Linked DNA regions of Lonchura striata. The protein of the gene in region 2 interacts with the protein of the main gene of each other region in a biochemical or structural test. Links are inferred from orthologs where the notes say so. Each region holds a gene or a part of one and is shown on either strand. Other genes may lie near its edges. The genes, in order: TGFB1 and DCN.

Region 1 (16,285 bases), on a different chromosome or scaffold from region 2:
TTTTTGAGCATTTTGGGGCATTTTGGGAGAAATTTTGGGAGAAATTTGGGAGGATTTTGGGGGGTTTGGAGGGATTTTGGGGCATTTTTGGGGGGATTTGTGGGGGTTTCGTGGGGGTTTTGGAGGGAATTTGGGGAATATTTTGGGGGGTTTTGGAGGGAATTTGGGGGATTTTGGATCATTTTGGGGATTTTGGGGCATTTTGGGAGGATTTTGGGGGATTTTGGGGAATATTTTGAGAGATTTTGGATAAGATTTTGGGGGATTTTTGGGGGTTTCGTGGGGGTTTTGGAGGGATTTTGGGGAATATTTTGGGGGGTTTTGCAGGGAATTTGGGGGATTTTGGGGGATTTTGGGGATTTTGGGGCATTTTGGGAGGATTTTGGGGGGATTTTGGGGGGATTTTTGGGGTTTTGAGGGGGTTTTGGTGGGATTTTGGGGAATATTTTGGGGGGTTTTGCAGGGAATTTGGGGGATTTTGGGGATTTTGGGGATTTTGGGAGGATTTTGGGAGGATTTTGGGGGGATTTTTGGGGGATTTTTGGGGGGATTTTTGGGGTTTTGCGGGGGTTTTGGTGGGATTTTGGGGACTATTTTGGTTGGGATTTTGGGGGGGATTTGGGGAATTTTGGGATTTTGGAGAATATTTATGGGGGATTTTGGAGAAATTTGGGAGGATTTTGGGGGGGTTTGGAGGGATTTTGGGGGGGAATTTGGGAGATTTTGGGTCATTCTTTGGGGGATTTTTTTGGGATTTTGGGAGATTTTTGAGAGGAATTTGGGGGAATTTTGGAAGGATTTGGGAGATTTTGGGGGTTTTGGAGGGATTTTGGGGGTTTTTTTTGGAGGGAATTTAGGGAATTTTGGAAGGATTTGGGAGATTTTGGAGATTTTGGGGGATTTTTTGGAAGTTTTGTGGGGGTTTTGGAGGGATTTTGGGTTTTTTTTTGGAGGGAATTTAGGGAATTTTGGAAGGATTTGGGAGGTTTTGGGGAGTATTTGGGGAGATTTTGGGGAAGATTTTGGGGGATTTTAGGGGAATTTGGGTGATTTTGGGGCATTTAGGGTTTTTTGGGGGGATTTTGGAGAAGATTTTGGGAAAATTTGGGGGGATTTGGGAATTTTTGGGGAGAATTTGGGGAGATTTATGGGAGGATTTTGGAGAATATTTTGGGGGATTTTAAGGGAATTTGGGGGATTTGGGGGATGTTTGGGGATTTTTGGGCAGATTTTGGAGAAATTTTGGGAGAAATCTGGGAGAATTTGGGAGAATTTGGGAGAATTTGGGTGGGTTGGGGGGGGCTTGGAGGCATTTAGGGGCATTTTGGGGGGATTTTGGGAGATTTTGGGGATTTTGGGGATTTTAGGGGATTTTTGGGGGGATTTGGGAAGTCTTTTAGGGATTTTGGGGGATTTTTTTGAGATTTTGGGGATTTTTGGGGGGATTTTGGGGGAATTTTGGAGATTTTGGGAGAAATTTGGAGGGATTTTGGGAGGGTTTGGAGGCGTTTTGGGGCATTTTAGGGATGGAATTTGGGAGATTTTGGGTCATTATTTGGGGGATTTTGGGGATTTTTTTGGGATTTTGGGGGGATTTGGGGGATTTTGGGGGATTTTTGGGGGGATTTGGGGATTTTGGGGAGAATTTGGGGGGATATTTGAGGGATATTTGCCAATTTCGGGGGGAGTTTTTGGGATATTTTTTGGATACTTTTGGGGAATATTTACCGATTTCGGGGGGATATTTGGGGGAATTTTGGGGCTATTTTTGGGGAATATTTACCAATTTTTGGGGGATATTTGGGGGAGTTTTTGGGCTATTTTTGGGGAATATTTACCGATTTCGGGGGGATATTTGGGGGAGTTTTGGGGCTATTTTTGGGGAATATTTACCAATTTTTGGGGGATATTTGGGGGAGTTTTTGGGCTATTTTTGGGGAATATTTACCGATTTCGGGGGGATATTTGGGGGAGTTTTGGGGCTATTTTTGGGAGATGTTTACCAATTTCGGGGGGATATTTGGGGGAGTTTTTGGGCTATTTTTGGGGAATATTTACTGATTTCGGGGGGATATTTGGGAGAATTTTGGGGCTATTTTTGGGGAATATTTACCAATTTTGGGGGGATATTTGGGGGAGTTTTTGGGCTATTTTTGGGGAATATTTACCGATTTTGGGGGGGATATTTGGGGCCGTTCCGGGGCCATTTTTGGGTTGAAATTCGGCGTTTTGGGGCAGGGAGCTGGAGCTGCCACCTGTGCCTGCGGCAGCTGAAGGAAAAGGCCTCGGCCTTCATCACCCTCCCCTAGGGGGGGCCGCCCCCCAAAAACCCCCAAAAACCCCCAAAAACCCCCAAAACCCCCGACCCCCCCCCAAAAACCCGACAAAAGCCATAACCGAGCTGGGGGGGGGGAGGGGAGGTTTTGGGGAGGGGGCTCCCAAATTTTGGGGGGGGGGGGGGGCGCCGAGTGTTGCATGATGGGAAATTTTGGGGGTCCCTCCCCCCCCTCCCGCGCCCCCCTCCCCTCCCCCCCCCGCGGGCGGATTTTGGGGGGGTTTTTGGGGGGGGTCGGGAGGGGGGGTGGGGGAGGGGAGGGGGTTGGGGGTCTCTCCCCCCCCCCAACCCCTCCCCAAATTTTGGGGGGCCCCCCCCCGTGGTGTCGTGGTCGGTTCTGTGCTGTGGTGTCCGTGCAGTAAATTTGGGGTGACCCCCCCGTGACCTCTGACCCCGTCTGGGGGGGGGGAGGGAATTTGGGGAGGGGGAGGGGCGGGAATTTGAAGGGGAATAAAATTTTGGGGGGCAGGGGCAGAATTGGGGGAGGGGCAGAATTTGGGGGGAGGGGCAGGAATTTGGGAAAGGAGGAATTTGGGGAGGGGAGGGAATTTGGGGAGAGGAGCGAGAATTTGGGGAGGGGGAGGGGTGGGAATTTGGGGCAGGAATTTGGGGAGGGGGAGGGGCGGGATTTGAGGGGAAGGAAAAATTTGGGGGGGAGGGGCAGAATTTGGGGGAAGGAGGAATTTGGGGAGGGGGAGGGGCGGGAATTTGGGGGAGGGGGTTGAAATCTAGGAGAGGGAATCCCAAAATTTGGAGGGAAAAGTAAAATTGAGGGGAGGGACATGAAATTTGGGGTTTTTCCTCAGTTTCGGTGTTTTTTCCCCAATTTTGGTGTTTTCCCCCCAATTTCTGGGTTTTTCTCAGTTTTGGGGATTTCCTCCCCAATTTCTGGGTTTTTTCCCCCTAATTTTGGGGGATTTATCCCCAATTTTAGATTTTTCCCCCCAGTATTGGGTTTCTTCCCCCAATTTTGAGTTTTCTCCCAATTTTGATTTTTTCCCCCCAATTTTGGAGGCTTTTCCCCCCATTTTTGTTTCCCCCCCCAATTTTTTGGTTTCTTTCCCCAATTTCTGGGGTTTTCCCCAAAGTTTTGGGGTTTTCCCCCAATTTTGGTTTTCCCTCCCCCCAAGTTTGTAGTTCTTACCCCAATTCCTGGGTTTCCCCCCAATTTTGGGGTTTTTCCCCCAGTTTTGGGGTTTTTGCCCCAATTTTGGGGTTTTCTCCCAAATTTCTGTTTTTTTCCCCAATTCTAGTTTCTCCCCTCCAGTTTTGCAGTTTCCCCCTCCAGTTTCTGGGTTTTTCCCCCAGTTTTGGGTTTTTCCTCCCAATTTTTGGATTTCCCCCGAATTTTTGGATTTTCCCCCAATTTTGGTTTTTTCCCCCACTTTGGGGCACCCCAAGATGGCGGCGGTACACACAAGATGGCGGCGCCGCCCTCAAGATGGCGTCCCCCTACTCTGTAACGCCCAAGATGGCGGCGGCCGTACGGCAAACTCTGCCTCACACGCATGCGCAGTGATAACGCCGCTCTTTGTGGGCGTGGCCTGACCCGCATTGACCAATCAGCGCCGGCCCGGCGTTACCGTGGCAACGCAATGCGGCAGCGCCGCCCGCGCATGCGCAGTGGCGGCGCGGGCAGGGGGCGGGTGAGCGCCGCGCGGGCGGAATTTTGGGGGGAATTGTGGAAATTTTGGGGAATTTTGGGGGGAATTGTGGCGATTTTGGGGATTTTTGGGGGGAATTTGGGGCGGGGGACGGAGGGGATGGGTGGAGATGAGGGAGGGACGGGCGGGGATGGCGGGAGGGGAGAACGGGGCGGTTTTGGGGGGGATTTTTTGGGATTTTTTGGGATTTTTTTGGGGGGATTTTTGGGGTGAATCCGGCGGGTTTCGGGTCCCGCAGCCCATGGCGGAGCTGCACCTCTTCGGGCAGATCGAGAGCGGCTGCGGCTTCTCCGAGCGGCGCCTCTTCTGCAAGTGGGGGCTGCACGCCGGTGAGCGCGGCGGGGTGGGGGTCTGGGGGGATTTTGGGGATTTTTGGGGAATTTTGGGGAATTTGGGGGAATTTGGGGGATTTTGGGAGGGATTTGGGGGAGTTGGGAGGAATTTCGGGGAGTTTTGGGGGAGTTTTAGGGGGATTTGGGGATTTTTTTGGAGGATTTTGGGGGGATTTCGAAGGGATTTGGGGAGATTTTGGGAGGAATTTGGGGGATTTTGGGAGGAATTTCGGGAGGTAAGGGGTGGGTTTTGGGAATTTGGAGGGGAGATTTGGGGATTTTTGGAGGATTTTGGGGGGTTTTGGGGATTTTGAAGGAGATTTTGGGGGGATTTTAGGGGGATTTGGGGGGTTTGGGGGATTTTGAAGGAGATTTTGGGGGAATTTCGGGAGGTTTTGGGGGGATTTTAGGGGGAGATTTGGGGATTTTTGGAGGATTTGGGGCGGATTTGGGGGTTTTGGGTGGAATTTGGGGGATTTTGGGGGAGTTGGGAGGAATTTCGGGGGGTTTTGGGGGCACTTTGGGGATTTTAGGGGGATTTGGGGGAGGGTTTGGGGGAGATTTTGGGGGTCTTGGGGAGATTTGGGGGGATTTTGGGAGGAATTTGGGGATTTTGGGAGGGATTTTGGGGGATTTTGGGAGGTAGTGGGTGGATTTTGGGGATTTGGGTGGGAAATTCGGGTTTGTTTGGAGGATTTTGGGGGGATTTGGGGGAGGGTTTTGAGGAGATTTGGGGTTTTTGAAGGAGATTTGGGGATTTTGGGAGGAATTTGGGGGATTTCTGGTGGGATTTGGGAGATTTTGGGGGGATTTGGGAGATTTTGGGGGATTTTGGGGGGTCTGGGGGATTTTAGGGAATTTGGGAGGAATTTTGGGGGGATTTTAGGGGTTTTGGGGGAGAGATTTGGGGATCTTTTAGAGGATTTTTGGGATTTTGGAGATTTTGGGGGATTTGGGGGGATTTTGAGGGGAACTGGGGGAATTTGGAAGATTTTGGAGGGATTTTGGTGGGATTTGGGGAGATTTGGGGACATTTGAGGAGTTCTGGGCAGATTTTGGGGGGATATTGGGGAGATTTGGGGGTTCCGGGGTGATTTTGGGGGGACCTGGGGCTTTGGGGCCATTTGGGAGAATTTTTGGTGGTTTTCGATGATTTTTGGGTTATTTTAGGTGATTTGGGGATCATTTTGGGGTGATTTTGGTTAATTTTTAGGGTGATTTGAGGTTATTTAAGAGGATTTTGGTGTCCCAGGTGATTTTGGGGTGATTTGGGATGATTTTGGGGGATTTCGGGGGTTTTGGGGTATCCTAGGTGATTTTGGGGGGATTTTGTCGTGATTTTTGGGGTGATTTTGGGGTGATTTAGTCTGATTTTGGGACATTTCAGGCTGATTTTGGGATATTTCAGGGTGATTTTGGGACATTTCGGGCTGATTTTGGGACATTTTGGGCTGATTTTGGGAAATTTTGGGCTGATTTTGGGGTGATTTTCTCTGATTTTGGGGTGATTTTGGCTGATTTTGGGCCGTTTCGGGTACTGGCGCCACCTGGACCCTCCTGGCTGATTTTGGGGTGATTTGGGGCCATTTTGGGTTGCTTTTGGGATATTTTGGGGTCATTTTCCCTAATTTTGGGCCACTCCGTGCTGCAGGCTCCGCCTGGACGCTGCTGGCTGATTTTGGGGTGATTTTGGGACATTTTGGGGTGATTTTCCCTGATTTTGGGCCGCTCCATGCTGCAGGCGCCGCCTGGACGCTGCTGGCTGATTTTGGGGTGATTTTGGGGTGATTTTGGGACATTTTGGGCTGATTTTGGGCCGTTCTGGGCGCAGGCTCCGCCTGGACGCTGCTGGCTGATTTTGGGGTGATTTTGGGCTGATTTTGGGACATTTTGGGCTGATTTTGGGCCGTTCTGGGCGCAGGCTCCGCCTGGACGCTGCTGGCTGATTTTGGGGTGATTTTGGGGTGATTTTGGGACATTTTGGGCTGATTTTGGGCCGTTCTGGGCGCAGGCTCCGCCTGGACGCTGCTGGCTGATTTTGGGGTGATTTTGGGACATTTTGGGCTGATTTTGGGCCGTTCTGGGCGCAGGCTCCGCCTGGACGCTGCTGGCCGGGGCGGGCGCGGGGCAGACCCAGCTCGACGACCCCCAGGGGGGCGACGCCGCCCAGTGGAGCCACCCCCTGGACCTGCACCTGGGGACACGCGGCCTGCAGGGTGCGGGGACACCCGTGGGGACATCGGGGACACTGGGGGGACATTGGGGACACTGGGGACAGTGGGGACATTGGGGACACTGGGGACATTGGGGGGATTGGGGGCACTGGGGGGATTGGGGACATTGGGGACACTGGGGACATTGGGGACATTGGGGGGATTGGGGACATTGGGGACATTGGGGACATTGGGGACATCGGGGACACTGTCAGGGCCATGGGTGTTCAGGGAGGACACTGGTGGTGTCAGGGTCCCCAGGTGTGTCCCCAGTGTCCCCAGTGTCCCCCCAGTGTCCCTGATGTCCCCAATCCCCCCAATGTCCCCATGTCCCCCCAATGTCCCCATGTCCCCAATGTCCCCAGTGTCCCCAATCTCCCCAATGTCCCCAATCCCCCCAGTGTCCCCAATGTCCCCAATCCCCCCAATATCCCCAGTGTCCCCAGTCCCCCCAATGTCCCCAATCCCCCCAGTGTCCCCCCAGTGTCCCCACTGATGTCCCCACTGATGTCCCCAGTGATGTCCCCCTGTCCCCAGGCTGGCCCAAGCTGCTGCTGGAGGTGTGGCACGTGGACGCGTGGGGCCGGCGGGGCCTGGCGGGCTACGGCGTGTGCGCGGTGCCCAGCGCGCCCGGCTGCCACCGCGTCACCTGCGTCACCTGGCGCCCGCGGGGCACGCGGCGCCAGCGCCTGCTGGGCCCCGGCGCCCCCGAGCTGCGCGACCCCGCCGGGGCGGCCGCCGGCGCCGCCGAGCGCTTCCGCCTGCGCACCGAGGCCGCCGGCACCGTGCGGCTGCGCCTCGGCGTCCTGCCGCGGCACATGGCACGGTTTGGGGTGGCACTGTGACACTGGGGACACTGGGGACACCATTGGGGACACTGGGGACACCATTGGGGTGATGGGGACACCATTGGGGACAGTATGACACCATTGGGGTAATGGGGGCACCGAGGCCGCCGGCACCGTGCGGCTGCGCCTCGGCGTCCTGCCGCAGCACATGGCATGGTTCGGGGTGGCACTGGGACATTGGGGACATCGGGGTGGCACTGTGACACTGGGACACCATTGGGGACATTGGGGACACCTTTGGGGGGGTGATGGGGACACTGGGGACACCATTGGGGACATTGGGTTAGTGGAGAAACCATCAGGGACATTGGCACCGTGTGGCTGCGCCTCGGCGTCCTGCCGCGGCACATGGCCAGGTTCGGGGTGGCACTGTGACACTGGGACACCATTGGGGACATTGGGGACACCTTTGGGGTGATGGGGACACTTTGGACACCATTGGGGACATTGGGGACACTGGGGTAATGGGGGCACCATCGGGGACACCGGCACCGTGTGGCTGCGCCTCGGCGTCCTGCCACGGCACATGGCGCGGTTCGGGGTGGCACTGTGACACTGGGGACACTGGGGACATCATTGGGGTGATGGGGACATTGGGGACATCACTGGGGTGATGGGGACATTGGGGACATCACTGGGGTGATGGGGACACTACTGGGGACAGTATGACACCATTGGGGACATTGGGTTAATGGGGACACCATTGGGGACACCGGCACCGTGCGGCTGCGCCTCGGCGTGATGCCGCGGCACATGGCGCGCTTCGGGGTGGCACTGTGACACTGGGGACACTGGGGTGGCACTGGGGACACTGGGGACATCATTGGGGGTAGCACTGCGGACACCGGGGTGGCACAGTGACATTGGGGACACCATTTGGCACACTGGGGTGGCATGGTGGCACTGGGGACGCTGGGGTGGCATGGTGACATCAGGGACATCATTGGGGACACCAAGGTGGCACTGGGGACACCACTGGGGACACTGGGGTAACATGGTGGCACTGGGGACATTGTTGGGGACACCACTGGGGACACCGGGGTGGCACTGGGGACAGGGTGACCTGGGATGACATCCTGGGGACACCCTGGGGACACCGGGGTCACCTTGGGGTGGCACCTGGGGGGGGCCAGGACAGGAGGTGACACCTGGGGAGGGTCCCCAAACTTTGAGGGGAGGGGACAACCCTGGTGGCATCCCGGAGGAACCTCCCCAAAATTGTCACCTCCCCTTTGTCCCCAGATAAAAGTTTTGTCACCAAATGCGGCTCAGGGGGGGGTTTGGGGGGGAGGGGACAATTTGGGACAATTTTGGGGGGGGGAGGGGACAATTTTGGGGGAGGGGACAATTTGGGGAGGGGAGGTGGCAATTTTGGGAGGGAGGTGACAATTTTGGGAGGGAGGGGACAATTTTTGGGGAGAGGTGACAATTTTGGGGGGGAGGTGACAATTTTGGGGAGGGAGGTGACAATTTGGGGGGGAGGGGACAATTTGGGGAGGGGAGATGACAATTTGGGGAGGGAGGTGGCAATTTTGGGAGGGAGGTGGCAATTTTGGGAGGGAGGTGACAATTTTGGGGGGGTCCTGGAGCCCCTCCCCCATCGCGGGTGTCCCCCCGCCCCTCCCCCCTCCGGAAATGTCCCAGACGCGGAAGCGTCGCCCCCTCCCCCCCCCGGGCCGTGACTCAGTTTCCCTTCCCCTCCCCTCCCCCCTTCCCTCCCCCCCCCCGGCCCCGTTTCCTGGGTGGGGCCCGCGGCGAAACGGGGCCAAAAGTGGCAAAATCGGGCAAAAAGCGGCCAAACAAGGGACAAAAAGGATAAACCGGGACAAACCGGGACCACCCGGGACAAAGCGGGACCACCGAGGACGACCGGGAAGGATCGGGACCACCCGGGACAAAGCGGGACCGGTAGGGACAACCGGGACCAGCCGCGACAAACGGGACAACCCGGGACAACCCGGGACAACCCGGGGCACAACCGGGACCACCGGGACAGTCGGGAGCGGAACCGAGCCCGGGAGGGGAAATCCGGGCGGGTTCCGTGCGGGGTGTCCCGGGTTAAGACCCGGTTCCGGACTGCTCTCCCGGTTTTGGGGAGTTTGTCCCGGTTTTGGGGAGTTTCTCCCGGTTCTGAGGAGTTTATCCCGGTTTTGGGGGGTTTATCCCGGTTCTGAGGAGTTTATCCCGGTTTTGGGGAGTTTCTCCCGGTTCTGAGGAGTTTATCCCGGTTCTAGGGGAGTTTATCCCGGTTCTGGGGGGGTTACCCCGGTTCTGAGGGGGCGTGTCCCGGTTTAGGGGATTTATTCCGTTCCCGGGGGTTTATCCCGGTCCCGGTGTCTTTAACTGCTCCCGGGAATTTCTCCCGGTCTCTCCCTGTCCCGGTTTAATCCATCCTGGTCCTTTATCCCGGTCCCTCCCGAGGCTTTATCCCGGTCCCTCCCGAGGCTTTATCCCGGTCCTTCCAGAGGCTTTATCCCGGTCCTTCCAGAGGCTTTATCCCGGTCCCTACCGATCCCTCCCGAGGCTTTATCCTGGTGCGTCCCGGTTTCCCGTGTCCGGTCCCTCCCGAGGCTTTATCCCGGAGCCTCCCGGTCCCTCCAGAGGCTTTATCCCGGTTCCTCCCGAGGGTTTATCCCGGTCCCTCCCGAGGCTTTATCCCGGTGTCCGGTCTGTCCCGGGATGCGGCTGTCGGTGCGGGTCCCGGTGCCGCTGTCCCTCCCGGTCCCGGTGCGGGTCCCGGTGCGGGTCCCGGTCCCGGTGCGGGTCCCGGTGCGGGTCCCGGTGCCTGTCCCGGTGCCTGTCCCGGTGCTGCTGGCCGCGCTGCTGGCCGCGCTGGCCGTGCCGTGCCGCGCTCTCTCGTCCTGCCGCACGCTGGACCTGGAGGCGGCGCGGCTCAAGCGCATCGAGGCCGTGCGGGGCCAGATCCTGAGCAAGCTCCGGTTACCGGCGCCGCCCGCGGAGCCCGGCCCGGGCCCGGCCGCGCTGCCCGAGGACGTGCGGGCGCTCTACAACAGCACCCGGGAGCTGCTGCGGCAGCGCGCCCGGCGGCGCCCGCCCGAGCAGCCGCAGGACTACTACGCCAAGGAGCTGCTGCGCTTCCCCATGGAGAGCCCCGGGGACGGTGAGGGACACCTGGGGACAGCTGGGGACACCTGGGGACACCTGGGGACAGCTGGGGACAGCTGGGGACAACTGGGGACACCTGGGACATCTGGGGACACCTGGGGACACCTGGGGACACCTGGGACACCTGGGGACAGCTGGGGACACCTGGGGACAGCTGGGGACAACTGGGGACAGCTGGGGACACCTGGGGACAGCTGGGGACAACTGGGGACACCTGGAACACCTGGGGACACCTGGGGACAACTGGGGACAACTGGGGACACGGGAGGACACAGGGACATGGGGACATGGAGGGACACAGGGGGACACCTGGGGACACCTGGGGACACCTGGGGACACGGGGACATGGAGCAGCCTGAGGAGCCACAGGACTGCCCCGCCAAGGAGCTGCTGCGCTTCCCCATGGAGAGCCCCGGGGACGGTGAGGGACACCTGGGGACATTTGGGACACCTGGGGACACCTGGGACACCTGGGGACAACTGGGGACAACTGGGGACAACTGGGGACACCTGGGGACACCTGGGGACACGGGGGGACACCTGGGGACACCTGGGGACAACTGGGGACAGCTGGGGACAGCTGGGGACAACTGGGGACACCTGGGGACAGCTGGGGACACCTGGGACACCTGGGACAACTGGGGACAACTGGGGACACCTGGGGACACGGGGGGACACCTGGGGACAGCTGGGGACAGCTGGGGACAACTGGGGACACCTGGGGACAGCTGGGACACCTGGGGACAACTGGGGACACCTGGGGACACCTGGGGACAGCTGGGACACCTGGGGACAGCTGGGGACAACTGGGGACACCTGGGGACAACTGGGGACACCTGGGGACACCTGGGACAACTGGGACACCTGGGGACACCTGGGACACCTGGGACACCTGGGGACACCTGGGGACACCTGGGGACATTTGGGGACACCGGGGACACCTGGGACACCTGGGACACCTGGGGACACCTGGGGACACCTGGGGACATTTGGGGACACCTGGGGACACCTGGGACACCTGGGACACCTGGGGACACCTGGGGACAACTGGGACACCTGGGGACAGCTGGGGACACGGGGGTGGCACCGGGACACGGGGGGACACGGGGACATGGAGCAGCCTGACCAGCCGCAGGACTGCCCCGCCAAGGAGCTGCTGCGCTTCCCCATGGAGAGCCCCGGGGAGGGTGAGGGACACGGGGACACCTGGGGTGACATGGGGACATTGAGGGACAGCTGGACACGGTGACCCCTGGGTGACCCCACGGTGACTCCTCGGTGACCTCCTGGTGACCCCTGGGTGACCCTGAGGTGGCCTCCAGTGGCCTGGTGTCCCCTCTGTGACCCCTCTGTGTCCCCAGTCCCCCAATGTCCCCAAATGTCCCCAGTGCTCCCCATGGCCCTGGATGTCCCCAGTGTCCCCGATGTCCCCAACCCCCCCAATGTCCCCCCAGTGTCCTCAATCCCCCCAATGTCCCCACTGTCCCCGCGCTGTCCCCGCTGTCCCCACTGTCCCAATCCTGTCCCCAATGCTGTCCCCGCTGTCCCAGCGCTGTCCCCGCTGTCCCAGTGCTGTCCCCAGTATTGTCCCCATGCTGTCCCCGCTGTCCCAATCCTGTCCCCACGCTGTCCCCGCTGTCCCAATCCTGTCCCCGCTGTCCCAATGCTGTCCCCGCTGTCCCCCCACTGTCCCCAATGCTGTCCCCAGTATTGTCCCCACGCTGTCCCCGCTGTCCCAATCCTGTCCCCGCTGTCCCCAATCCTGTCCCCACTGTCCCCACGCTGTCCCCGCTGTCCCGCAGGTGAGGCGCAGCGCTGGCTCCCCACCCCCCGCAGTCTGTTCTTCGTGTTCAACACGTCCCGCCTGCGGGCCGGGCTGGGCCGGGCCGAGCTGAGCCGGGCCGAGCTGCGCATGCTGCGCCAGGGGACAGCGGGGACAGCAGCGGGGACAGCGGGGACAGCGGGGACAGCCACAGGGACAGCAGCGGGGACGGCCCTGGGCACGGAGCAGAGAGTCGAGCTCTACCAGGTGGGCACTGGGACACTGGGGACAGTGGGGGATTGGGGACAATGGGGACATTGGGGACATTGGGGACATGGAGACATTGGGGACATTGGGGGGATTGGGGACATTGGGGACATGGGGACATTGGGGACATGGGGACATTGGGGACATGGGGACAGTGGGGGATTGGGGACATTGGGGGGATTGGGGACATGGGGACACTGGGGGATTGGGGACATGGGGACATGGGGACATGGGGACAGTGGGGGATTGGGGACATTGGGGACATTGGGGGGTTGGGGACATTGGGGGGATTGGGGACATGGGGACATTGGGGGATTGGGGACATTGGGGACATTGGGGACATTGGGGACACTGGGGACATTGGGGACATTGGGGACATCGGGGACACTGGGGGGATTGGGGGATTTGGGGACATTGGGGGGATTGGGGGATTTGGGGACATTGGGGACATTGGGGGGATTGGGGGATTTGGGGACATTGGGGACGGCTCCAGAGCCACCCCCAGCGAGGGTGGGGGGACCCAGCCCTGGCCTGGCCCCAAATTTGGTGACAAACTGGTGTGACGTCACCTGGGCCCCCCGATGTCCCCAATCCCCACAATGTCCCCATGTCCCCAGTGATGTCCCCGATGATGTCCCCGTGTCCCTGATGATGTCCCTGATGATGTCCCCACTGTCCCTGATGATGTCCCCGTGTCCCCAATGATGTCCCCGATGATGTCCCCGATGATGTCCCCACTGTCCCCAGTGATGTCCCCATGTCCCTGATGATGTCCCCAATGATGTCCCCGTGTCCCCGATGATGTCCCCGTGACCCTGATGATGTCCCCGTGTCCCTGATGATGTCCCTGATGATGTCCCCGTGACCCTGATGATGTCCCCGTGTCCCCGATGATGTCCCCAATGTCTCCGATGATGTCCCCGATGATGTCCCCGTGTCCCCAATGATGTCCCCATGTTCCCCGATGATGTCCCCGTGTCCCCGATGATGTCCCCGTGTCCCCGATGATGTCCCCGATGATGTCCCCATGTCCCTGATGATGTCCCCAATGATGTCCCCAATGTCCCTGATGATGTCCCTGATCTTGTCCCCGATGATGTCCCCAACGTTGTCCCCCGTGTCCCCGTCTCGCAGGGTTTCGGGAACTCCTCCTGGCGCTTCCTGCAGGGCCGCTCCGTCAGCGTCACCGCCGAGGACGAGTGGCTCTGGTTCGACGTCACCGACAGCGTCCGGCAGTGGCTGCGCGGCTCCGGTGGGCCCGAGCTCCCAAAATTCCCACAAAATTCCCGGAAATCCCGCAAAGTTCCCGGAAATCCCGCAAAATTCCCGGAAATCCTGCAAAATTCCCGGAAATCCTGCAAAATTCCCAGAAAATCCCCCAAAATTACCGGAAATCCCGCAAAGTTCCTAGAAATCCCGCAAAATTCACGGAAATCCCACAAAATTCCCAAAAAATCCCACAAAATTCACGGAAATCCCGCAAAGATCCCAGAAATCCCGCAAAATTCATGGAAATCCTGCAATGTTCCCAGAAATCACACAAAATTCCTGAAAATCCTGCAAAATTCACGGAAATCCCACAAAATTCCCAGAAATCCTGGAAAATTCCCCAAAAATCCCGCAAAATTCCCAAAAATCCCGCAAAATTAATGAAAATCCTGCAATGTTCCCAGAAATCCTGGAAAATTAAGAAAAATCCCACAAAATTCCCGGAAATCCCGCTAAATTCCCAGAAATGCCGCGAAATTCTCGAAAAATCCCAAAAAATTACCGGAAATCCCGCAAAATTCCCCAAAATCCTGCAAAATTCATGAAAATCCTACAAAATTCATGAAAATCCCACAAAGTTCCCAGAAATTCTGCAAAATTCCCAGAAATCCTGGAAAATTCCCCAAAATCCCCCCAATGTTCCTGGAAATCCTGCAAAATTCCCAAAAAACCCGCAAAATTCCCAGAACTTCTGCAGGAATTGGCCAAAATTCCACCCGAATACGGCAAAATCCCCCCAAAAATCCGAGCGTGGCTCCAGGGGGGACGGCGGCGTCGCCACAGCCCCAAAAACCCACAGACCTTCCCAAATCCCCCCAGAATCCCTCAAATTTCCCCAAAATCCCCCAAATTCCCCCAAAATTCCCAAATTCCCCCAAAATCCCCCAAATTCCCCAAATTTCCCCAAAATTCCCAAATTTCCCCTTTAGAGCCGCTGGGGCTGTTCTGGCTCAGCATTCACTGCCCCTGCGAGCCAAAACCCCCAAAATTTCTACAAAATCCCCCCAAATCCCCCCAAAATCTCCCAAATTTCCCCAAAATCCCCCAAATCCCCCAAATTTCCCCTTTAGAGCCGCTGGGGCTGGTCCGGCTCAGCGTTCACTGCCCCTGCGAGCCAAAACCCCCAAAATTTCCCCAAAATGCTCCTAAATTTCCCCAAAATCCCCCCAAATTTCCCCCAAATCCCCCAAATTTCCCCAAAATCCCCCAAAATTCCCTAATTCCCCAAATTTCCCCTGCAGAGGTGCTGGGGCTGTTCCGGCTCAGCGTTCACTGCCCCTGCGAGCCAAAACCCCCAAAATTTCTACAAAATCCCCCCAAATTTCCCCAAAATCCCCCCCAAATCCCCCCAAAATCTCCCAAATTTCCCCAAAATCCCCCAAATCCCCAAATTTCCCCAAAATTCCCAATTTCCCCTTTAGAGCCGCTGGGGCTGTTCCGGCTCAGCGTTCACTGTCCCTGCGAGGCCGCCGGCGACGCCCCCAGCCTCAAAATCTCCATCGAAGGTACCGGCAGCGGATTTTGGGGGGATTTGGGGGATTTTGGGGATTTTTGGGAATTATGGGGGATTTTGAGGTGATTTTTGGGAGTTTTGATGGAGATTTTGGGGAGATTTGGGGGATTTTGGGGGAGATTTTGGGGAATTTGGGGGGGATTTTGGGGGGATTTTGGGGATTTGGGGGACTTTCAGGAGGAGCTTTGAGGGGGATTTTTGAAAGATTTTGGGGGTTTTTGAGGGATTTTGGGGGGATTTTGGGGATTTTTGGGAATTATGGGGGTTTTGGGGGGATTTGGAGGTAAGTTTTGGGAGTTTTGATGGAGATTTTGGGGGGTTTTGGGGAGATTTTGATGGGGATTTTGGGGGGACTTTGGGGGATTTTGGGGGATTTTGGGGGGACTTTGGGGGATTCGGGGGATTTGGGGGATTTTGGTGAATTTTGGGGGGGATTTTGGGGACTTTCAGGGGGAGCTTTGACAGATTTTGGGGAATTTTGGAATTTTGGGGGGATTTTGAGGGATTTGGAGGTGATTTTTGGGAGTTTTGATGGAGATTTTGGGGGCATTTTGGGGGGGTTTTGGGAGGGGTTTTGGGGGGATTTTGGGATTTTTTGGAGGATTTTGTGGGATTTTGGGGTGGATTTTTGGATTTCGGGTGAATTTTGGGGGACTTTGGTGGGATTTGGGGATTTTGGGGGGATTTTCGAGGATTCTGGGAGACTTTGAGGGGATTCGGGTCGATCTGAGGCGTTTTGGGGCGTTTCGGGATTTTTTGGGTGGATTTGGTTTCAGTTTGGGGCATTTTGGGGAATTTTCAGCAGCAGCGCCGGGACAGCGAGAGCTGGGTCCCCAAATGTCCCCAAAATGTCCCCAATGTCCCCAGTGTCCCCAATGTCCCCGATGACCCCGATGTCCCCAATGTCCCCAATGTCCCCAATCCCCCCAGTGTCCCCAATGTCCCCAATCCCCCCA
Region 2 (16,847 bases):
GACATGAGTGTAATTGGACCACTGGGCATTTTTTTCACTGTTTTTTTGGAACTTGGATTTTATTTTTTTATCATTCCCATCCAGTGCTCATGAGAAAAGGGGCAAATCTGATCTCTGGACTCTGGATTCAATAGTTCTCCTGTGGTTTATTCACATAACCCTCTGTCAGATGGTGGTTTTTTCCTTATGAAGTAAGAATCTACAAATACCAAATGCCCATTTAGGCACAAAAGAAACAGGCTGAGGAAGAGGAGACGTCTCCATATGTTGCCTGTGTTAGGGTTCTCCAGCTACAGCTCTGGCATGACCCCTGCATCCATGGGCTCATGGCTGTAAACATTCCTTCCATGCAAGAGAGTGAGGAGGGAAAAGGATCCTGATTCAAGTTTCAACTTTCCTTTGTGAGAATTTATTTAGGAAGGTCTTAATATGCCCTTTGAGGAACATTGTTATTGCCTGAAATTTTTCATCAACTAGTACCCATGGGACTAGATGACAAAATTTGATAATTTTGGAGGACGGATGTAGCTAATTTGGTTGGGTTGGAAAAGCACAGAGCTGAAGGGAGAGAGAGGCCAGGAGCACAGGTTAATAGGGAGGTAGAACTTTGCTAGTTTCAAGCCTTCCATGTGCAAATTGAGCTCCTGATCCCTGAAACACACCACAGTTCGCAGCAAAAGGCTAGCAACTGTCTTTTCTCAAGTCAGCAGGTAAATTTGATTTTGCCTGGGTCTGTCATACAGAAGTGAATTCAGAAGAGTAAAGGTCAGGTTTACCTGTGAGCAGGTGACACAGAGCTCTCCTGTCCCTGCTTGCAGGGCAGTCAGCAGACTCGTGTCTTCATGAGCCACCCAGCTGGGCTGTGTCCCACCAGGGGCTGTCACATGTGACAAAGATGGGTGAAACTCAATGCCAAGGCTGGCACTGCTTGATAAATACTTCCTTGAGTTCTACCAGGGAAGTATTGTTTATTTATTTTTCAGGGCTATATATTTTGAGCTGGCTTGGATGCTATCAGCCCAGTGGATCCAAAAGTACAATCTTTTCATTGTATGATATGCAGCATGTGGGTTTAAAGAAAGCTCAAAATAGATCTCTTTCTTTTCACCCCATGTGAAATTATTTGGGAAACACTGACCTGGGGACTTAATTGCTGTATATCTGAGTCTCTTTGTCAGTATGGGAGTATCTATGCAATGGACTGTAAACAATGTGTCTGTGAAGAAGTGCATGACCAGAGGAGCAAGTACAGGAGCAAAGGGTCCCTGTGTGAATGTCTCTACTTTTTCACCAAGTGAAAACTCATTACATTCTGCAGAATTGAAGCAGACTGAGAACAAGATCTCTAAATAACTTAAATTCCATCAGCATTACTAAGTGTAACAATAATAAAACCTAAGACTTTCATGGCATGTGGGGCAATCTCCTCCCCACTCCCCATTCCATGTTTGCTCTCTCTGGCACCTATATGGTAAAAAACCCCCATCTTTCAGGAGGTTTAGTACTGTGGAAGCTTTCTGAAAGTATAGCTAGGTTAGCCCACTCTGTTTTGTGCAGCATTGTTTACTGAGTCTTTGCCAAACATATCTGTTGCATAATTACATGGCTCACTTTAATAAATTCACAGAAATTTCTAGGAGTATAGCTAAAGTTTTTCCTCCTTTCTGTAATTATACAACCCCTAAAACAATGAGAAACAGGTCCTAATTGGTGGATTTGTGCCATGATTTATAGTGACTATCAAAGCCAATGTTATAACAGGAAAATAGAAATACCTAGTTATACATTTAAAGAGCTAGGAGGACTAAAAGAAAAAAGAAGCCCTATAAGATCATGAGCAGTTATTTGTCTGTTTTCTTGTGAGCAAAACCAACTCTAATTGATTTTCTGCACTATATACTAAATAAATGTACACTGAATTATACTGGTTTAAACTAAGAGCAGTCTCACAGAAGTGATCTTCATTACTTGAGATTTCTGCATTGAGAAGTCAAATATAGTGATGGCAGACATGGCTTCATATCCTGCTACTCTGTGCACACAAGCCCTTCCCTTACATAAGGGAGTAAGGAAAGTTTGTGAGGAATGTTCTCATGGTTTCAGCTTATATAGTGTCTTAGAAAGATATTTAATAAGGAATTCCATGCTGTGTTCATTATTTTGGTGTGTTTCCAAGCCCTTTACTCCTAAGAGCTGGTTCCAATATATATGATTCAGTTGGTGATTTCATGCTCATGCATTCCTATGAAAATGAGATGACATCTATGTTGAGGCACTAGACAGTATGATTAAAGGTGTTGGACCTTGGACCACACAATTTAGAACATTTCAAAATATTTACACATCCACATCTAACTTTACTGCATTTATTTATATTAATCTGAAGGAATACTTTGAAAAGTTATTTTCTCTGCAGGAGAAATCCATGGCTTTTCAAAGAACAAGTGAAATGTTAAATGTTAAAAAAATCAACCCTTCTTCATGGTCACAACAATGCCCATCTTGCCCAGGCTTTATGGCCTACTTTGTATAGTAAATTCTGGTTAACTGCAGCAGTAGCGTATTTATTTGAAACAAGGCAGTGAGGGAGTGACAGTCCATGGCAGCCTATCCGTCCCAGCTGCTAGCCTGTGACTAGAAGGCGACTACAGAGCCTCTGGAGAAGCTCTTGGCTTACCTAGGTCAGAGCACTGCACCACACGGAGATGGCACTGGCAGCGGAAGGGGCACACGGGTCCAAAGCCGGAGATGACGGGATCATCCGTCGGAGCCATGTCAGCTGAGCCCTCATCCTCCAGCATAAAGTCAAAGAGGCCCTGCTGGTGGAAGGGCTTGGCCAAGCATGCTGGCAGCAGGAGCACAAAGAGTAGAGCCAGCCTCTTCATGGCTTAGTTCATTGACTCCCAGTAGAACCTAGGATTCAAAGCAGTGGATTAATAACAAAAGTAGCAGTTTCCCATAGTAGCACAGTTCCTCCTGAAGGAGGTCCAGCACATCCACCAATTGCATAACTGTTCCTTTCAATAAAAGAAAACTGAATTGTAAAAATAGGACAGTTATGTGATAGGAGTCTGGTAGTAACTCCTTGTCAATAGGCCTTTTTTTTTTTTTGCAGAGCAGTTTAAAGGCAACAGTAAACACATCTGTTTGCATATTTAGAGTAATATTTTTTAGAAACAGGCAGCGCTGTCAACTTTGTTATGCAAAAGAGTCAAAGCAATAAGCCACATTTTCCATGTGCCTATTTTCTGCCAACATAACAGTCTATTTGATTTCATTAGCATTTATTTCATAGCAATGGGTTTGACTCTGGGGACAAACCTGAGGTTCCCAAACTCACTGTAATTCAGTATTTCGTGTCTTGAGAAATATTTTTTAAGTATCGGCTTGCTGTGTGTTTTAAATTATAACCTAGTAAAACTGACTCAGAAAGAGTAGGATTTAGTGACAGGGTGGAAAGTGAGGGGAAGATCTTTAGTTGTTTAAATGCACTATACTTCTTTCCAGTTCAGACAACACAATAAAATGGAATACAGTGTTGTGATATATTGAATAGTCTTGGCTTTCTTTCTAAATTTTGACATCCACCCTAAGAATCTTGCTTTGCACTGCATAAGCATTTGAAGTGATGCTTGCAATGTTGTGTGCACACTTTCTAATAGGACTTCAGGGCTTCATTCTGCAGACTTTCATGGTCAGGAGCAACTTTATACAAGTAAGTGTTGCCATAGATATTAACAAGAAAAGCTGCTTAAATACATGTTCTCAGGACTTTGGCTTAGATGCATTTCAACACACTCTAGGTTGTCCTACCTGTCTTGTTGTGCATTAAGGAGAAATTGCACAACTGTTTGCAGGTTTTGTATCAAGGCTATAAAGACCAGATAATTTTCTGAATATTATTTTCCTTTACTCTGTATTTTATATAATGAAGTCCATACTTTACTAACTTTAATTTATTTTTAAAAACCCACCAAAACCAACAAAAAAAAGAAAAACAAAAACAAAATAAACAAAAAAGCAACAAAAAAAACCCCAAAAATCCAAAAAACAAAACAAAAAAAATCCCCCCATAAAATAAACAAAACAATAAACCACCCAAAACCACCAAAATTAAATCTGCCTTCAAATTGGCAAGAGACACAAAGGCAAACTTGTCATTTATATAGAAGCTTTTTCTTAAAATGGATGGCATAATCCTAAATACAGATGCTGCTCTTTGTAATGAAAGCAAAAGTGTCCACTTGCTTCTTCAGGACGATATCTTAGCAACACCTTGCCTGGGTGCTAGCTGGGATTATTTCATTTTCTAGAAGTTATCAAACAGCTAGGGGTGTGGTAGAGCATTTTTCAGCTCCATATTCACTATTGGATAAAAAAACTGGGAGAGGCAGAAGTGGAGGACTGCCTCCCTGTCTACTTTGACATATGGAACCTACCAGGTAGATGACAAGAATGAACAGATGATATTAGGTGCAAATAGTTTACTGAAGCCTGCCTTTCTAATATACTACAACCAGGTATTCTAAAAGGAATAGTTAGTGCTAAGAAAAAAACTAAATATATATAAAAAAACATGAGATTGGATTTAGATACAATTTACATGGTGCCTAGGTTCATTTTCCTTTATGAATTCCTACCTACAGGAGCCAATAATACAGTTCTCCAGAAACCTTTAGGTCTTGTTTCTTGTGAAGATGATTAGGTTGCCTAATAAAATATGCTGGTGTCTTTAAATCACAGTCTATGTTCCTGTGATCTACCTGTCAGGAAGACATGTAGCTAACATCTTCAGACATCCCAAAGACTTCAAAGTGAAACCACATGGAGTAAAACACTGTTTATGTTGTCTCTTTCAGGGACATATTTGTTTTCTTGGACATGAAAGCACTTCTGTTCCTGGAACAGACACCTTACTTACTGCATGTACTGAGGAGGGTCACAGACCCCAACATCAGCTAGAGAGTTTGTAGGATGTTCTGTCAGCCAGTGTTGTGTAAACTCATGACATGTAGCAGGGACAGACTGTGTTCCCATGTGGATCATCCTCCTGCCCTGGCTACCCGCTTACACTGGGGCTGTGTCCCTTTCCCTCCAACACCCCTGCCAGTGCAGGCACAGTGCACAGGGACATGTCAGAATGTCACAGCAAAGTGCTGTTAGTGCATGGCAGTGAGCTGTTAACAGGGTTTCATCTAAAACATGATTTTTGAAAGAGTAATCATCATGTGCAAGTTACTGTAAAATAACAATGCAATTTATTAATAATCTCAGATGAGAAGAAAAATTTGCTAAACCATCACCATTCATCACAATATGCTGCCTTGTGAAAGTGACCAATAAACATTACCCCAGTACAAATTAATTTTCAGAATATATATTAACAACAATAAACATTGGGAATGCTGCACACAAATTCTTGAATGGCAGTGGCAGTCAGGACCTTTAAAGACCTTCCTGTCTTTTTTTTATGTATTAATACTTTTTTAAAACATTTTAAAATACTTAAAACTTATTCAATCCCTTTCAGGGTCACTGCTGAAGTACCACCCATCCCAAGAATGCACAATCAGGATCTTATCCTGGAGTTTAATTATTACCATTCAGAAAAGTCAAAAAAGAAAAAAAAAAAAATGTAAAGGCACTTTGCTTTTTATTCACATTAATATTGATGACTTCATTTATCTCAGTTAAACCCTGTAGCAGGCCTTTCTATTTGTCCCTGTTTTGTAAAAACTTTAATGAAATCAGAAAGAGCTGTCTATAAAGGAAAACTGTAGGACAACAAAGGATATCAAGTATATAATCTGAGGATACAGCAGAGAAAACAGGAGACCCTACATATTAATCACAACATAGGAATGGATATCTTCAGTCACATATGCATTCATACTGCACACACATATATCTGTTCCTATTGCTTGCATGTGTAATTGAACATAAACAAAAAAAAAAAGATATACACAAAACTGTACTACCAAGAAATGTTTACACTTCACTTACCAAAAAAAAGTAGAGAGGACAAAAAAATCTGAATTCTGTGAAACAATATTTATGTCTGCAGGACATAACTGTTTAAAATTCCTTTAATTATGTGTTTACAATGAAGAAGAGTTTTCCACAAGCAGAGGAAACTATACCATAAGCTTGGCCACATTTCGTTTTAAAATACCGCTGAAAATATGCTTCATCAGTTCACGTCACCACTGTATTGGTGGTCTTCTTGTCAGTTTACCTTAATATTAAGGTTAAATTATTAGTTCACCTACTGTCAGAAATCTCTCAAAATTCCACAATGCCAAGCTAAACAATATTTTCCAGTTTCAAAAAATTCCCCTCCATTTTATGTTTTGCCCATTTTGTGCAATAAAGTCCATATATGCAAACACAGGAGTTGGACGTTTTAGAGAATAAAACTTTGTTAACAGGAGTTTCAACTGCATGAATTTTCTTTTCTACTATTTCATTCATAAGAGCCTTCTTTAATCATGATTCCAGCCTCTAACATAGCACTTTCTAACATTACAAAGGCATGCACAGAGCCCGTTTAACTCACTACTACACTTTTTTCCTCTGAAATTGAAATTATATTCATCACTGTCTGAAATATATATGAAGAAACACATGAGAAAGAAATCACAGAGTGCAGTTTAAAGCAGAAATGTAAGCATACACGCATTTTTTACTCTCTGTATCACCAATTCTAAACACCGGATTGCAGAGAATATACTGCTGTAAAAGTTTACAGCAAAGAAAAAGAAAGGACTATAGTAGTGCTTATACAAATCAAAACAAGAGACAGAATAGTCAAATAAACAGCAGGAAATTTGCACAGTCTGAGAATGTATTCTCATGTTTCCAAGAAACAAAAGTGCTGCATAGAAAACTTAACATTACTAAACATTTAGAAGGATTTTTGACTTGCTTCTCTTAAAATTCAAATAGTTCTTGCCATAGACTTGCCCGAAGTTTTATTAGCACAGCATAGTTCAGAAGAATTACTAAAAACCGTACCTTTTAATCCAGGGATTTGCAACAGGAGCTCTCAAAGCAGAGATGTAATTAAACTAAGTATTCAACCCAGGCAGAAGGCTTTGCAGGTGTGGAAAGGAGGAGGGGGTAAATTCAGCTCAGTGACTGTCACTTGGTGGAAAACCCTCCTGCTTCTATTCCATAGCACAGTTAAAAAATGTTTCTCTCAATGAACACAATCCAGGCTGACACCCACATTAGATCATATGGTAATGATATGTCTCCTGTATTGCAGCCAGAAACTTTATCAGCTCTTTTGCTTTCTTTTCCTCCTTTTCCCTTTTCATTTTCTTTATTTCTCTTTCATCTGTTTACAATCCCAAACTACTTGTACATTATAAGACAAATTCTTAGCTGTAATTCATCCTACTTACTTTATTTATGTTCCTACAACATATATTTAGGAAAGTTTTCTTGGTTTTAGCTATGGGGGGGTTTACGACTCATTAATGAAAAAAATGTTTAGCTCTCCCTCTTGTTTATATTATTTGGAAATCAACAAAATTATATAAAATTAATCTTTGAGTTAGGCAAACTAGAGATTAATATCAGGAGAAAAGTGTTAGCTTTTAATAAAACTATTTAAACAGATATCAACCTGCTTTTACTTATGCTATAATCTCTGTCAAACTAAGTAGTATATAGTTTAATATATTATTATCTGGTCTAATAATAAAGTTTGTATGTATTTTTTCAAATGACAGCATGGTTTTGATATATACGAAAATCATGTTTTCATTAGTAAAATGATTCTAACATTTGTGGTTAGAGCTGCTTTATATAAACTTTGCTTTTTTTTTTTTTTTTTTTTTTTCCTTCACTGCCTTCTCACCAGGACAGCAAAACAGAGGGAAAATTAGCTTTAACTGTTTGGGTTTTGTGATGGTGTTTTTTTGTGTGTTTTAATTTTTTTAGTGGGTGGTTTTTTTTTTTTTTTGGCTAGTTAGGGGTTTTTTTTATGAGACAGAAAAGATTTTTTTAAAACATGGGAAGGAAAATTCATCTGACTTATTATTTAGATTTATGTTTTATTTTAGCAATTTCTGGTTTTATGCAACTGATACTGGAAGCCAAAATGCAATTTCTTTATTCCTACATAATTTTAAAAGTAAAGTGATCTGAAATGAGAGAAAATACAATAATTGCTATTTATTTACTAATCCAAACACATTGTTGTTAGCTGTCCTATCTAAATACTGAAGGCTTGTGTTTCTGTGTTTTGACTTGCATCCTTTTTATTTCTGCCCCAAGGCAAAGACCAGGTGCAAATCTGAAATTAAAGCCTGTAAAATGATGCTTAAAAGAAGTCAGAATTTTTTAGAAACATAATAGACTCTTGAAATTTTAGCTGTCCTCCTCATTTAAATTCAAGAAGAGCCCTTATGATAGATCTTAAAATTGTTCTCCTTTGGTGGAAGAAAGCATGGTAGAATAATTGTCTGTTAGTTTTGGTCTCTGTAGAACAAAGGTGTAATCAGACATCTTACAGATTCCTTATATAGCTCACTCTAAAAGTTAAGGATCAATTATTCACCCCTAGTCCTTAAGCTAACTTCTTTTCCCTGCATCTCTACTGGATTCAATGGTTTTTGTTATGACATTTTCCTATATATGATTAGTGGTGTTCCAAGCTTTCATGGTTACAACAAAGCCTTATCTTTGTTCATAAGTGTCGCCATGAGGCTTGCTGAAATCTTGGTGCATCTTAGTAATGTCAGTTATTTGAACCTTGGTCACCAGCTGCATCTGGTGTTTAAAAACATTTCAAAGCAAGATTTTGATGAGGAACAGGTCAGGGTAAACTTGTTGTCAGTTTGCTTCACAAAACCCATTCATATGCTTTTGCAGCACAGCCTTAATACATTTGTTCTGATATCTGTCATGGGGTTGAAAGGCGTTGTAATTTAATGCCTCAGTAATTTCTTTGGAGGCAGAGGGGGGATGAGCAGCCATCTCTCCTTCTCCTTGTCATAGACGTTAGGGAGGTTCAAAAATGAAGATATTGATGGGAACAGGTGGAGCACAGGGTGTCTGCTGGGGGTTCTGTTTTCTTGCATGAAATCCATTCCAAGAAGCTCAGAGGGGAAAAGATTTTACGAGCTTTAGGAATGATGAAAACATTTCTGTTACCTGTTAATACCCAGAAGTAGAAGAGCTGTGTGTTATGTGTACAGCCCTTCCTGAAATAGAAAGTGGAGTTAGGTGGAACAGAGCAACTGAATGGGAGAGGACTTACGACATTGAATATTGATGTAATACCTTATTAATAATATTAGTTGTTTTGAATCGAGGAATTACAGAATCATTTAAATTGGAGAAGACCTCCAAGGTCTTTGAGACTAAACTTTGACTGATCACCACCTTGCCAATTAGACCATGGCCCTAAGTGACAAATCCAGTGTTTTCTTGAACACTTCAGGGATAGTGACTCCATCACCTTGCTGGGCAGCCCATTCCCATGCTTAACCACCCTTTCCATGAATAAATTCTTCCTGATGTCCAATCTAAACATCCTCTGATGCAGCTTGATGTTGTTTCCTCTTATCCCATTGCAGGTTGCCTGTGAGAAGAGACCAGCCCCCACCTGGCTGGATTCTCCCATCAGGCTGTTGCAGAGAGTGATAAGGTCAACCCTGAGCCTCCTTTTCTCCAGGTTAAGAAATCCCAGCTCCCTCAGCTGCTCCTCTTAGGATTTACTCTCTAGAACCCTCACCAGCTTCATTGCCCTTCTCTGAACACACAATATTTTCATGTTTTCATGGGAATGCTTTCTGGTGCAAGTATTCCTTTAATCTCACTCTTTGCCCCCTGCTGTGTCACTCAGAAGATAAACAACCATAAAAAAAAAAGGCAAAAAAAACCCTAAGGAACAATATTAAGTGATTATATAACTTTATGTCCCTTGTGACACTACACAGGGCCTAGCGTCAATCAGCTATCCTTCCCAGTCTGACCTACTTTGACTACGGCTTAGTCAATATAAAAAATAATCATTAGAACAGTCTTGGTTTCTTTGTGATTTTATTACTCCAGTTTAAGAAACTTTTAGGACTACATGCTGCTCCAAATGCTGATTCCCAGAAAGATACAGGCAACTGCATGTTAATGTTATTTATATAACAATATTTTTATTAAATTTTGATAGATAGCATCTGCTTCATTTGCTCTTGGTGTATTTTGTGGACCTTCCAAAGGGCAGTGGTGGGAAAGAAGGCAGGAAGCCCACTTGCTGGTGAGTGCTTTACCTGAGACCAGTGGAAGTCTCTGCAGGAAAGATATGAACACTGCCCTGTATGGAGAAAGCATTTCCTGGGGAAATTGCTCCTGGAGCACGGGGTTGAGCTGGAGGAGAGGCATGTCCAGCGGGCACCCAGTGCTTCCAGAACAGATTGAAAACTCCTCAGAGGAACTGAGATAATTTGTCCCTGGGTGTGGAAAGAAAGGCTTATTTGAGGGAGTCTGGGAAAAAATGGGTAACATTTATTGCAATCCAGAAGCTCCTGGAATGAAACGAAAGCAGGGCAAGATCTGTTCTGCAGGAACATGGCGTCCCATGTCCCAGAGATACTAATTCCAAGTTTTCATCGGAGAAGAAGGCATTTTCTTGGACTGTCATCTAATAAATCCCAGCTTTGATGATCAAAGACTGGTTAGCATTGTTGTGGTTGTTGTGGTAAAGAGGCAAGTCTGCCTCAAAGTCCTCAATAAAACAGAGTTAAGTGCCAGTCTCCATCAGGTAAGTGCTGATCCCCATCAGGAATGGAAAAAACAAATCTCTCACTTGGCTGCCTCATGGAAACCCTCTCCACCTCCTTGGTATCTCACACTTGGACTTTTATGCACAGCTTCCTAGCATTTCATCTTCCACATGATGGTGCTACTACAGACTGTCTCTTCTTTCTGCACTAGGCATAATAATGTCTTCCAAATAAGTGTAGAAAACTGTTCTTCACAGTTAGCAGTGAAGTTCCTTTACTAAGAATGTGAGTAAATATGCACCCCAGCTTAGTAAACATTGATCCAGGTAAATATTGACCTAGGCACAGCCTAACAAGGTAGTTAAAGAGAAGAAATGTAATTTCTGGATATTCTGAGTATGAAAGTTTCCTTCAGCACTCTGTGACCTCAGAAATTATCAGCCTGAACTCTTTCACATTTCTACAGATCAAAAGGGCTAATGTATCTGACTTTGGATGTGTGCTACCAGTAACATATTATTTATGCTTCTGTGAAAAGCAATACTTGTACAACTGTTTGAACAAAATGCAGTCAAACTTCGAAAGACAAAGCTCTCTTTTTGGAGGACTAGGTCTCTTCTGTCACTGTCTATCATCCCATCTCTCCCTTTCCCACTCTGCAAGAGCATGTACTGTTACCTCTCATGGTCATCTTTCCTGTCTTCTGAAGGAAGTCTCTGGGATCTGTAGGTCACTCTAGGAAACTAATTCAAATTTTCCTCAGCTGAAGGATCTGACATGTGATCATATCCTTCACTTTGGTCTCTTTTCTTTGGAAAGGCCTATCTGTTCCTAAACTTGACTGGCTTTCATTTCCACTGGCTTTTCTATTCTCTCCTGAATAAAATAATGTTGTCCAGGTCTTTCTAGCAGCTGTCAAAGTTAACCACATATTGATATAGCCTTACTGCTCACTATGATTTCAAACACTCTGAACTTAACTTCTGCCCTTGAGGAGGAAACATTTCCTGCCTAATCCTCATGTTTTTGTAGTGTAGATGTACATTTTCAGATTGATCTTACCTCTCTCCCTCAAAAATGCAGGAAATAGGTAAAATTAGACTTTGTCTGAGTCCTACCAACTCCTAGCCATGCTACAAGCAAAGAATGAGGGATAAGTAAGTGATTGTGGACCAAAGATCCCAGAACTTCACTTTGACTTTACTTCTTCACCTTTAATTAAAGAAATTGAAAATGCAGGCAAAAAAGTCTGCTCTCACACACCTTGATAGACAGAATATCAGTACTCAGGTGCTCCATTTGCTGTGCTTCAGCTACAGCATTTAATTTTGTTCCTGCATCAGCAGCCTTCTGTCCTCCAGAAAATTTCTTAGATGAAAGAAAGAGTGTGCTAACATCAGCAAAGGTTCCAGGAATCTACAAGTCCCTGAGAAAGACACTTTCCCAGAAAAAGAGTATAATTTTGGGAGTGTGGGCTGTGAAAGAAGAAGTGATGACTGAAGAGGAGAGGATTAGTTTAGGTAAAACGAGATTAATTTTTTTTTTCCAGTGAGAACTCTTTCATCAGATTTTGGCATTTTGTATTTTTTGCAGTATCTTGAGTTGCAGTCCAACTGTTTCCAAGGTTCAGATGAAAAATCCAGACCTTAATTCTCATTTTGACAGCCCTTAGATCATGCTCTGGATAAGCTTCGTCATCCCAGCTGAATTACACAATGCCCTAGAAAAGGATGACAGTAATTCATGCAAATGTTGTAACTGTATTCCTTGCATGTACCCTTTTAGTCATGGGTTATGAACCAGCATTTGAAATGAGGCACATCCTGTGCAGCTCTGAACAGCCTATTCCCAGATTATGAAAAACATGTGAATACAAGGGTCAGCCTGGATTTCCAATGTAGTCATCACAGCAAGTAAACTTGTTCAGGGAGAGCTAGTGACTGTTTTACTGAGGAAAGTCCATAAAAAGGAACAGAATAGAAAAAAACCCAGCATTTATATAAGCCTTTGTGTCTTTTTCTCTGTATTAAAATGTTCATTTTTGGCAATCTGGTGAGGAAAAAATTCTAACTTCAGCTAAACATACAAAATTGTGACTTTGAAAATATAAGCAATGTCATCACAAAACTTACCAGTTTTGTATGGACTGTGTTTTCAAAGAAGGGTGAAATGGAAGTTTACAAAAGAATGCAGTAGTTTACAATTTGATTTTCAAAATATAAATACTTAAAAATAAAAGTCTTGGGTATTTTGGGAAGAGTCTTTAAAATACCCATTGTATTACCTTAAGCAATTGAAGAGTCTTGCCTTAAGCACATATGAGCTTTTATTTGACTACTAAAAATATATATTTTTTTTTCCCTTTTATTCTTGTAAATAAGCTCTTCAAAGGATTGTGCTGACTAAGAAATTGCGCTGATGTTCCTCAACAGAAATTTTCCATAGCCAACCTGGATAAAACATAGTGAGGTTTACTAAATGAAACAGAGTTTAATTCTATATGGAGAAACTTTAAATATGATGACAATTTTTTCAGTTATTGAATTACAGAAGAATGTTAACTGGCAATCAGAAAAAAAAAATTAAGGCTATAATTTTTCTAGACCTTTTTCTACATTACTCATTGTTTTATTTCCTTCTTTACCATTTGTTTCTAAGTTATCTTCAGGAATATTGTGTTCCATAAAGACTGGCTACATTTTAATTTAGAGGATAGCACACATCTGTTGTGTTCCAGCTGAATAAAAGTTAAACTACTCTTATGAATATTGCTTTGCATTTATGTCTCTCTTTTGGCTTTTTGATTGGTTTGTTGTTAGATCTGCATATGTAATAGATGAATTTATGAGCATGCTGGGACAAAGCTCCAGAAAACACAAATCATATCATCTTACTGAAATTGCAACGTCTATTTCTTGACTTATCTTCATCTATCAAAATGTATAAACCCTTAGGGGTCTAAATAAAGATTTGTAAAAGTGGCTAACAGTTTTTTAAAATACGCCTGATAGATTATGATTTTCAAAGAGACTTTCAAAGTGCAGTTTCTGAAAATCAGGTATTGCATAATGCACTGGAGGATGGGCACAGAAAAGAGCTAGACATCCACTCTATCTAACAGCTTTTGAAAAGATCAGTGTATTGTACCAGTTAGAAACTATATACTAAATTTAAGGATCAATATAGTGTGCTTTAATTGTAAAAAATAAATAGGATGTTTCAAAATGAATGTGTCAGTTTTTTATTGCAAGATAGCATGCTTGCCTCTGAAGAAGCCACGTGTATGCAAAGAAAAGTCTATTCAGAGACAGTTCTCTGCTTATAAAACAAAACCCACTCCAAACTGGATCTTGAGACTTGGATGGTTAGAACAGTTATTTCTCAAATGTTGTTCACTGTGCTCCTGTACACTGTATCTCCTTCAAAAATTTTGAAAACAGTCTCACAAGAGGAATAGCCTGTCTTTCAGTCACAATTAGAAATTTCATCTCTCTGAGGAGTTCAGGCTGTATCTGACCCTCTTTCAGCCTGCAATACCATTCATTCTGGTGTCAATTTAAAATGAGACAGAGTTGACAAAAGAAACAATGGAATTAAGTCTGAGAAAATAAACAATTATACAAATTATTGGAAGTGAGAAAAGCAGCTGTTAAAAATACATCCAGGAAAATGCTAGTAACTTGTAAACTCCATAGAACCTTTTAGGCCTTACAAAATCCTTATTTTTGTGTCTTTGTTTTGTTTGGTTGGCTTTTTTTCCCCACAAGTCCCACTATACTATGTCTATAGGTTAGGTCATATTTTAGGCCTGAAGGATACCTGATATTTAGTTTGAAATGCCTAACTAATAATCACCATCTATTTGTCAAGGGCATATGCAGGATGTAACCATATATAGTTTAGAACAAGTCAATTTGCAATCCTCTTCCTTCCTATGTCCCCAAGACATTGCCTTCCCCCATTTTCAACAGAATAAACGTGTATTCTGGACAGCAGTAGGCTGGCAGGGACAAGCTAGCGTTACTTAGGTTTAGGATTACTTTCATACATCTTAATTTTTTTGTGGCTTTGAAGGGCTGAACCTGAAGCGACTGGGATCTCTTCTCCACTTGGTTGTAACTGTTCCCAGGAAACACAGGAGACAGCATTGCCAGCCTGAGAGGCTCAAAGACTGATTTGTGTGCTGAGCCCAGGTATCCACCTACAATGACAACAAAACATTGCTCCATGTGTAGATCTCAGTTTCACCCCTTGTTTCTGAATATATTCTGACTCCCATCCACAAATGCTGCTGGTCAGCCATTGTATATCAATTTAGTACAGAGTTATGGAGCTGGCACCATCTACTGAAATTCTCCCTTTTTTCCTGCAAGTCTCCCCACGGCCTCTCCATTTTTGTGTTTGTAGAAACAATTTGGTGCTATTTTCCAAATCAAGCAGTGTCTTTGTATGGTTTCTTTTGCAAATAGTGAACTCGTAATTTATTACAGCATGTTTCAGATTAAAGGAGAACAATATTAGTGATGCCAAAAAAGTATGAAATGTAATTGTCAAATACACTGGAGACAGCAAAATGGGGTTTTTTTAGTTCTTAAAAGTATTTGAATCCTGAAAGAAGGTCCGACCTGTTTTAGATGACAATTTTTTATGGCTTTTCTTAAAAGGTATATTTCAGTATATTTTATTTCTAAAAACCAAAGCCATAATATGACCTTCTCTTTGTAGTAAAACATCACTGGCTGTAGATTATGAAAATTCACATTGTTGTATTTCAGGTCAGAACCTTTTCAAAATAACACTAGATATCTTTCATCAATGAAAAAGAGAGTCAAATTATAGATTTATGATGAAAGTTTGTACAATATTTACCAGTCTGAGAATTCCTGGGCCTATTCCGAAAAATGTGAATTTTACCTTTCACATAATCTAGTTTTTCATCAAGACATAAGGGTATATTTTCATCTTGTCTGGTTAAGATGTGATGTGCATTTAGGGATCTGCCGGTTTGTAGACTAAATGAGAATGAATTGTGTTTTGGTGGTGATGATAGACAAGCCTTGTGTTGGTGCTAAGTGGGACGATAAAAAATATTGTGCTGATCCTATGATTCCTATAACTATGAACTCTTGACTTAGGGCACCCGGCAATTTTATAGTCAATTACTACAGAATGTGACTTAATTAAATATGGCATTTCTAGACATTCAGAGTAGTTTACCCTCTTTTTTTCCCTAGTTTCATTTTGTTTGTATAAAGCTGATGAACGGAAGTGACTGATGTGACATGTGCAACAGCTTTGCCAATCTCTGACCTACAGTGTGCCCTTTTCCCAGACTTTCCAGGCTTATTGTAAGTGTAAAAGATTGATTTTGGTTTTGATCTACTGCTTACTGAATTTTGGACTTTTGTTTTAGCTTTTCAGAATTTCAAAACTCATAAACACTTGATTACATAAGATATAGAATTCTGTGCATCTGTTTCTTCTTTCCATCTCTTTTCCCTTGAAGAACAACATACTCTATATAGGCAGTAACTGGACAAAAGGATATTTTCTATCACCGTGAAAAAAAGTTTTACATCAACATGTATTTTGCTTTAGAAACTGTAGCATTAAACTATTTTATCTGAATATCATTTTGTTTGTCTTTGTAATAATCCATCTCTTTGAAGGCAAAAAGGCACAAAATCATCAGAGAGGAAATCTGATTTTCCAAATTGTGTGTTGAAAAGGTAAAATAATATTTAAAATAATCAAAATTGATGTATAGTATTTTAAAACAATCAACACAATCAAATGGAAAATCAATGAAAAATTCTGTTCTTACTACAAACCACTTTTCTACATTCTGTTTCATGCAAAAATTCTGTGGAAGCGATTTCATCCAATAGCTGGTTCTCATGAATTCTAACTCCTGTACTCCTGTTTCATTAAGTTACTCAGCTCTACTGATGGCTAGCAAAGTTTTCCCAATATCTCCCAAACATCAGTGTTGCAAATTAAACCAATTACACTTCGTTCTACTTTCTGTGACATGTCATGGCAATTTTCTTCATAGCAACATATTGTGTACTTGAAGTGTCATCACTTCCTTCTTGTTCTCCAAACTGTTAATTCTCT

What was found.
Region 1: the proteins of DCN (region 2) and TGFB1 form a complex in vitro, tested with the Homo sapiens proteins (3 studies listed by BioGRID). The link is inferred for Lonchura striata from reciprocal best matches to the Homo sapiens genes DCN and TGFB1.

What each region holds. Positions count from the first base shown.
Region 1 is NC_134633.1:4,797,254-4,813,538, reverse strand, and holds the start of TGFB1 (transforming growth factor beta-1 proprotein), read left to right. Parts: upstream 1-10,071; coding exon 10,072-10,513; intron 10,514-12,320; coding exon 12,321-12,547; intron 12,548-13,681; coding exon 13,682-13,799; intron 13,800-15,237; coding exon 15,238-15,321; intron 15,322-16,285. Other genes in the region: zinc finger protein neuro-d4, read left to right, coding at 2,239-2,309; B9D2 (B9 domain-containing protein 2), read left to right, coding at 4,241-4,328, 6,422-6,547, 7,082-7,389. UniProt on the Homo sapiens protein: Transforming growth factor beta-1 proprotein: Precursor of the Latency-associated peptide (LAP) and Transforming growth factor beta-1 (TGF-beta-1) chains, which constitute the regulatory and active subunit of TGF-beta-1, respectively.
Region 2 is NC_134607.1:52,849,225-52,866,071, forward strand, and holds the start of DCN (decorin), read right to left. Parts: upstream 7,207-16,847; 5' UTR 7,015-7,206; intron 2,914-7,014; 5' UTR 2,886-2,913; coding exon 2,678-2,885; intron 1-2,677. UniProt on the Homo sapiens protein: May affect the rate of fibrils formation.